2 linked regions of the Tribolium castaneum genome follow. The protein of the gene in region 2 interacts with the protein of the main gene of each other region in a biochemical or structural test. Links are inferred from orthologs where the notes say so. Each region holds a gene or a part of one and is shown on either strand. Other genes may lie near its edges. The genes, in order: TGF-beta-activated kinase 1 and MAP3K7-binding protein 1 and mitogen-activated protein kinase kinase kinase 7.

Region 1 (3,924 bases), on a different chromosome or scaffold from region 2:
TTAGAAAATGGAAATGGGTCAGTAATTTGATTAGTAATATTATTTTTTTTATCTTCCTAAATTTTCACAACCAAAACAAATTAATGTCTTCAAAATGCTGTCCTACTTCTAACTCTAGTTAGTCCCATTGTTGTAACTATATTTAAGAAAAATGACTCCAACTTGCCAATAATGTGGCAACTGATGAATACGTTATTAAATAACCTTATGACAAGATTTCCGTCATAGAGATTTTGTTAATTAATTAACTTTAATTTGATTCAAATGTTCTATTAATTTTGTTCTATTAAGTAACGACAATTTTGGAAAATTCCATTTACAAGCAAATGGATAAAGGTTTATTTCTAAAACTTTGTAGAATAGAAGAATACATAAGTTAATAAGTATCTTATTTTACAGAGTTTGTTAAAGTACTAATACTGGAATAAGTATTAAATATTTCATAATAATACGTAATAGTAGTTAAAACTTTTATTTTGAAAGTAAAGAAATAATTAAGTGTTTTAAAAGAACTAATTCTAAAAAGAAGATCATGGAGCTTACTCGTAACTTAACAGAAATTATTAAAGTACGATATTCTATTGTTTACCTAGTTTCCATAGTATTGTCCTCTATATACCAAAGTACATAAAGGAGTCTGAAGTATTTACTTATACTACTTACTTCAAGTATACTGTGAAGTAAATGCTACGTTAGGTAATATTTATTTGAAGTAAAACTACGACGTGAATTATTTACTTGAAGTAAAATCAAATACTTTTTTAATCATACCACTCAAAGTCAGGGCAAACATTTTATTGAAAGCTATATAAAAAAATATTACCAATTCTCACACTTTCTAGTTTATATATTTTTAAATAAACATTGTTTGTCAGAGTGTGTGGAGTCAAGAGGAAAAAATGTATGAAAGAAGTGACGGGTGCAAGAAAAAAAATTGGGAAGGGAAACAGAAGTGTAAATATACGTAATGTATAATATCAAATAATTTCAAGAAGAACTGTGAAACAAAATAGGCAATAAAGACAGTTTAGTGTATCCTTAAAGGTCTCGAAATATTTTTCCAAGCACAGCAGTGAATATTCTCTTCTAGGTTCTAATCATAATAAATTATTGTACAAGAGGAAATTATTTTTCCTTAAATAATCTAAGGCAAACAAAAGCCCGACATGAAACTAACTATTATACAATTAAATTTTATGTCTTTCTAAAAAGAAATTTTCCTCCACAAAAACCTTAAGCACTATTTCAGTTTTCCAAAACTTTTATCCGTTTGAGGATTATATTCAGAATGATTTTAGTAATATTTTGTCTATGTAATACCAACCGAAATCTAAGTATAGTTATTTATTTAATGAGTTTGAGTGTAAATCGGACGCTTTATCTCACGAGTGGATTTTTAAACCACGAGTGAAAACGAGTGGTTTATCATCCACGAGGCGAAATAAATGAACCGATTTACACAAAAACGAGTTGAATACAACATTTTATTCTTCGAAATAGACTCAGCAAGGCTTAAAACTGCTTTAAATTTGTTAAAAATAATCTGACGTTTCGTACTGAGAAATGCCAAACAGTTGTCAAAACTTCCTTACACAGGAGAAAAACCGTAAATTTTGACAGTGTCGAAGAATAAAATATTTTAAGGTGTGTAAAATACTCTGTTAGTATTATTAACATAAATTTTTGTCTCTTGGTTCCCGTGAAAATTTTAGTCATTTTTTCTGCCTATTAAGAATGCAAAGCTCAACATTTCTGCATTTTTTCTTTCCAATGAGTGAATTGATTGAATTTAAATTAATTTAAAACGATTTGCACCGAGACGGTTTAACGCTCGAAGCGCCCTCATTTTTACTTCGCCGGACTAGAGAAAATCCTACTTTGTATCTCATTTCGTCTCCTAATCTACAGTCCTCCGTAGTCGCGACGAAAAATTTATTTTAGAAAAATAAGAACCCTATTTAACGCTTTTTTAAACTTGTGGTGTAATAACTATTTTATTGCTTTATGGCTAGAATTCCAACTTACAATTCCTCAAATACTCCCGATTGATCCCAATCTGCGCCAGCCTCAGCAACTCGTCCTCGTTCTTCAAATCGTGGTCGACACTCAACTGGACGACTTTCAACACCGAATTTGCATCAGTTTTGCATAACAATACGCGACAATTTCCGACATTAGCCACATATAACTTATTGTTGTGAATCAAAGCGACGGCAGCGGCGGCCCCTGACGACAGCTCACAATTGATCCGTTTAATACTCTCAACGACATGGGGCGCCTTCTGATAGGCCTCGTACGAGTTCGAGCCTTCGGGTAAGTCATCCTGCAGCCTTAATCTGTCAGCCAGCAGGTCGCCAATCGACTGCATATACCCCGTTTCGACCGAAATGAACGCCTGTCTCAGGATCTCCCTCACTTCATCGTCAGTCTTCTTCTCGGTCAGTTGAGAGAAGTAGATTTCGGCGGTCAGCTGCGACGAGAAATGCGGGGCTTTCTGGCCCTCGTGCCCGTCGAAGACCGCGTACCAGCAGGTGCCGTTGTTGAACTCGTAGTGGCAGCTGCAGTCTTCATACGGGTGGTCCTCCTGGGGGTTGCCGTCCTCGCGGTAGATCTGGTTGGTGGAATATCCAATTCCGGCGTTTTTGCACACTGTCAATGCGTCGGTCCATGTCCCTTGGCTCTTGTAAATTGTCTCGGTTGGCTTTAGAGGCTTCATATATTTTTGACAAATACATAACCTAAAAAATGGCAATAACCACTGTTGGCAACACTTCTGGTGTAGATACCACGTGACCGGACGGCATAAATTAAATAACACTTCGTATTTACTCCAAACATACAATTCGAGAGTGTAACTGTATTTTTTCACTTTTAACGATGTAATATTAATAAGGGGATTACCATAACTTGGTCTAGTTCCAGCAAATTATATCACCAGTGACATTGAATTTCGTGTGTCCAGCCTGTTTTCCCCAAACCCGACCCACTTTTTTTGTTGTGATTGTGTTATTGTGACATTTGTGACGTTTCACTAGAAATTGCAGTAAAAATACCGTTATGTTTACTAAATTTCGTTAAATTTTAGCAAACCCAATAAATTCTCTTCGTTTACGATGCCATAAATCGTGTCCAAGTCAGGTAAGCTCGCTTGATTTCACCTCCAGAAAAAGGCGCGATTTGATTGGAAAATAGCCCCAATTATGGCCTTATTACGACGAAATTATTCGTATTAGCATTAGCATTGTTTTTGGTGGCGGCCTCGGTTGGCCCCTTACGTTCTCAAGGTCTGGTTTGATGTCCCGGAACCGCACAATCCAGACATTCTTGTCCACCTATTAAATTTAGAACGTTAATAATAAACTCGTTCGCAATCCGTGGTGGATAGTTGTAATGTTATATTTTACACAGTAATAAAGTCAATGAACCGATCCAGAGATAATATTGTTTATTGAGGTTTTTTCCGGAACGTTTTTGTAAGCCAGGCATTTTTTGTGGTTAATTCTCCTTGCATGTGGCACAGTTCATAACGAAGCCCTCCACTTGTGTTTTTCTCACAATAATAACACCGTTACTTTGCTAACACGAATCGATATTTCATCAAAACACCCTTATCTTTAATCACACGTTAATAAATTACGTTCGTTTATCTGTTTTCCTCGTTCTTTCATTGATTGGAAGCTATTGTTGTGTTTTTCTAATAGAAAAGGAACAATAAAAAACCGATTGAATAGCTTTCCACGTGTATTAGAACTGGTATTGAATCCAAAGTCACGATTTGACACAGATAATAGCGTCAGACATTGAATTTATTTAAGTCTCTTTGGTTTAAATTTTTTAATACTTGTTACGTAAGTTTGTTGTCGGTTAATAACAGAAACATAAATTGGAACGTATTATTATTTCAGCTATCAATTAAATAATTCA
Region 2 (3,924 bases):
CGAAAAACTACGCGAGACTACCAGCCGCTGGAAAGAAACTGGCAACGGCCGCATGGGTGCGACTGAAATAGCGATACGGGGAAGACGCCAGGGACAGAGCAAGGCGCTGCCAGCGACGGACTGCCCAAAACTTTCGTCCCAACGTTTTTTGAAAAATATGGGGCAAAAGTTTGATTTTTTTTAAATATAGTTTACAACAAAAATTTTGCACCATGTCCTACAACCATGAATAAGTGCGCTCTCTGGCGACGAGAACGTTTTATTCGTCCATCGTTTCGCATCCTAACTTTTAGTCGTCCGTAGTCCCAAGCCAAAATTTGGAATTGTTTCTGCGGAAATGGCCTTAGGCAAGGCCTCAAAGCGCGTAAAACCTGCAAATAGCCGCCTTTTCCGCATTTCGGAGGCCGGTGGTGAATTGGGGCCAGGCCGTCCCTGGCAGGCCGATCAAGAAACTTCCAACTAAACAAACTACTCTAAATCGGTCTCGCTGAGTCAGCGCGTCTAAAAACAGATGCCCCTTCGTTTCGCACGTATTTAGGAGGAGGAACCGGAATTTCGGCCAAATCGAGCTTAAAGCGCCGGACCTGCACGACTTTAAGGTCGCAAAGCGATAAAAATACCGCGACGAAGCCGTGCAGACAAGTCGACTCGGCTTTGATCTTATTTTTATTGGTCCGTGTGTGACTAACACTGCGACAAATAAAAATTATAGCCCCTCGAGTGTTTTCAAGAATTGCAAGTTGTTGAGTCATGCACTAAGCCAATGCTCTCGGCTAAATTTACAACGAGCCCACAAGAACAACACAACCTACCGTTTTTTGGTACCATCTTATCAAGGCCGGGCATGGTTCTCAGCTGCATGTCGAGATCGTGTAAATCCCATGCGTCCTGCAACAAACGACTCAATTAATCAATTTTACTCATTTTCTATTAAAAGACAATTACGTCATGCGACGTAAAAACCGACTTACAGGGCTTATTTTAATGTTGAGGGGCCGCGACATCTCGGCACTCGGCTGGGGCAGCGATTTGACACAATTATCGCCGTTGGTGCTGGCGGGGAACTGGTCTATTTCCTCCACACAGTCCTCAAACTCTTCGATTTCCTCCTTGTAAACCACATCGTCACCGCCCCTGATCTGCAACGGCTCGTCGGCGCCCGGAAGCAACGAGCAAATAACTTCCATTTTTTTCACAATCTGGAAGCCAAACTTTGACTTTCCCCACTCAAAAAATAGTGCACTCACCTCCTTCATGCTCGGCCGCTTGGCCGCCTCCTGATCCCAGCACTGTGTCATCAGTTTTTCGATGACTGGGGGGCAGTGCCTGATGAGAGGGGGCCTCCGGCCGCTGTGCTTCGCCCACAAGATCATGAAAGCCGAAGGGTAGCCCGACTCCTTAATGTGGAAAAAAGGCTTAAGTCGCGATAACACCTCCCAGAGGATTATGCCCCAGCTGAAGACGTCGCACTTTTCCGTATAGTTTGACGTTTCAAAGACCTCGGGGGCCATCCACGCGGCCGAGCCTTTGTTGTTGGTCATGATTGCTGTCATGTCTGTGGCAGTACCAAAGTCGCATATCTTTAGCAAGGTGCCCCCGTTTATCAGGAGCAAGTTGGGCGGTTTGAGGTCTCTGTGTATCAAAGGTTTGGGTTTCATGCCATGGAGATACTCGACCCCCTGGAAAACCGAGTTAAGAGTGTGTCGGTGCGGCTTCGCCCCTTACTTTGGCGCACTGGTAGAGCCAGGACATGGCGTTGGCCATCGTGTAGTGTACGTTAGGTGCGTGGTGTAGAATATTGAAGAGGGAGCCCCCTTCGGCGTACTCCATCACAAGGCAGATGTTGGGGCCCTTGGTGCAGGCCCCGTACAGCTTGACAATGTTCTCATGCTTGACCCTTGACAGCTGCCGGACTTCCACAATAAAGGCGTCTTTGTCGTTCTCAGAGACGATGTTTTTGACCGCCACGAACGCATCGCGCCAGATTCCCTTGTAAACGACTCCAAAGCTGCCCTCACCGACTGCCTGAAACCACAATGTGTCGGTGGCCACAACCAGGGCTACTTTACCTCAAGCTTCTGAATTTCATTGTAGTTGATTTCCTCGACGGTGTACTGACATACGCTACCCTCATTTTCCGAAGACGCCATCGAAATACCGAAGTAATCACATATTTGGCCACAGAGCGTCCAGACAGCCCCAAAATTACGAAAAATCTCGATAAATATCAACCACCATAAATTTGGTTATGTATCCTTCAGATCAAGTGTCACCTTCGGCTCGAAAATCCCCAGCCGTGTTCAAAACTCGGCGCGAGTGTCAATCATGTCGAGCGAACGGGATTTACACAAACGGGGGCACCAGGGCTTCAAGAAGCGAGTCGAGAGTGACGTGATGAGCAGTGTGGGCAAGAAAGTCCTAGAGAAGAAATTCTTCGTTGCCGTTTACTCCCGGAACATTCCTGAGATAACAAAGTGTTTGAGTAAAGGAGTAAACCCGAACATTCGCTCCACGGAGTACGGTGTCACCCCTTTGCATTTACTCGCCGAACGGAACGACTACATCCTGGGGTACCGCCTTTTGGAGTATAAAAAATTTGACGTGGATGTGCGGAACGCCCACGGTTACACTGCCCTGCATGTTACCTGCTTATGCGACTGCAAAAAATTTGCCCTTCTTTTGCTGGAACACGGAGCCGACCCCAATATTTACGGCCGGTTTAATAAAACAGCCCTGCATTTATCCGTACAGAATGAGAATTACGGTATTACGATAAAGTTGCTAAAATTCGGGGCTGAGGTCAATGTTGTTGACTGCTTTGGCAATACGCCCCTCTCTTTGAGCATCCTAGACACCAATAATTACCTAATTGCCAAAACCTTGTTCCAAAGTGGGGCCAATATGAGCGTCGAGCACCAAAGACCACTCCATATTTTTTTTGGTACTTGATCATCCAAACGAAAAAAGTATTATTAAAATTTGCAGAAATGGTGTTGTATTGCCGCTGCATTCGTCAGATTGATTTGGTGCTGCTCTTGTTGGAGAACGGGGTTAATATTAATATGAGGGAGCCCGACTCAGGGCGCAATTGTCTCCACTTTGTTGCGGTGACCGGTTTTCTGGAACTGGCGGTGGTTTTGGTCGAAAAGGGGGCTAAAATCCACGTTGTGGATAGCTGTAAGCGCAGCCCCATTAAAGTGGCTGTGGACCACGGTAACGAAGTGATCGCCGATTACTTCCGCAAGGGCTACAGACCCCCGCCTTTGCTCACCGCCCTCCCGAAGATCTTCCAGTGGTCTAGCAAGGTCCGGGCGCGAATCAGCGAGCGGAAGCTGGCGGAGATGGAGAAAGAGGCCGAATTGAAACAAAAATAAACAGATCATTATGCACAATTTATTAATATTACGGAATACAACATTCAATAAATATATTGTAAATATTATACTGACTGACTTTTTGAGAGTTAAAACATATAAACATCAATAAACTAGTAACACAGATAGACTTTAAACGATTCAAAAACGCGATATGAGCTCGGGTTTAGTCTAAAAACTTATTACAAAACTAGCCGATGGTAAAGGGGAACATTAGGCTCGCGTTGATTGCTCAAGAGTTGGCTCAGCGTGTAGTAGTCGTTCTTGTTGGGGCCGTTCAAGTAGCGCAGTTCTCTGGTGGGGTCGTTGCGCTTTTTGGCCACCATGAAGCGCTTCTTCCTGCTGTCGGCGAAGCCGCCCCATCGGCCGCGCTTCTCGTCCATGAGGTAGCTGGGGGCGAGGTCGTTGTGGCCGGTGGCGTGGGGGTACACGGGGGCGTCCAGCCAGTTCTCCTCCTCCTCGAGGTTGTCGCCGCTCGGCTCGGGCTCCAGGCCCCAGGGGCGGTAGCCGTTGCGCTCGTTCTCGTACAGCGTTAAGATTGTGAGGATCT

Evidence for each region.
Region 1: of the proteins of mitogen-activated protein kinase kinase kinase 7 (region 2) and TGF-beta-activated kinase 1 and MAP3K7-binding protein 1, one has a biochemical effect on the other in vitro, tested with the Homo sapiens proteins (4 studies listed by BioGRID and IntAct). The link is inferred for Tribolium castaneum from reciprocal best matches to the Homo sapiens genes MAP3K7 and TAB1.

What each region holds. Positions count from the first base shown.
Region 1 is NC_087395.1:17,239,112-17,243,035, forward strand, and holds the start of TGF-beta-activated kinase 1 and MAP3K7-binding protein 1, read right to left. Parts: upstream 2,717-3,924; coding exon 2,026-2,716; intron 1-2,025. UniProt on the Homo sapiens protein: Key adapter protein that plays an essential role in JNK and NF-kappa-B activation and proinflammatory cytokines production in response to stimulation with TLRs and cytokines.
Region 2 is NC_087399.1:3,650,593-3,654,516, reverse strand, and holds the start of mitogen-activated protein kinase kinase kinase 7, read right to left. Parts: upstream 2,284-3,924; 5' UTR 2,151-2,283; coding exon 2,070-2,150; intron 2,026-2,069; coding exon 1,726-2,025; intron 1,680-1,725; coding exon 1,248-1,679; intron 1,200-1,247; coding exon 972-1,199; intron 889-971; coding exon 813-888; intron 1-812. Other genes in the region: putative ankyrin repeat protein RF_0381, read left to right, coding at 2,326-2,941, 2,986-3,374; prohormone-2, read right to left, coding at 3,557-3,924. UniProt on the Homo sapiens protein: Serine/threonine kinase which acts as an essential component of the MAP kinase signal transduction pathway. Plays an important role in the cascades of cellular responses evoked by changes in the environment.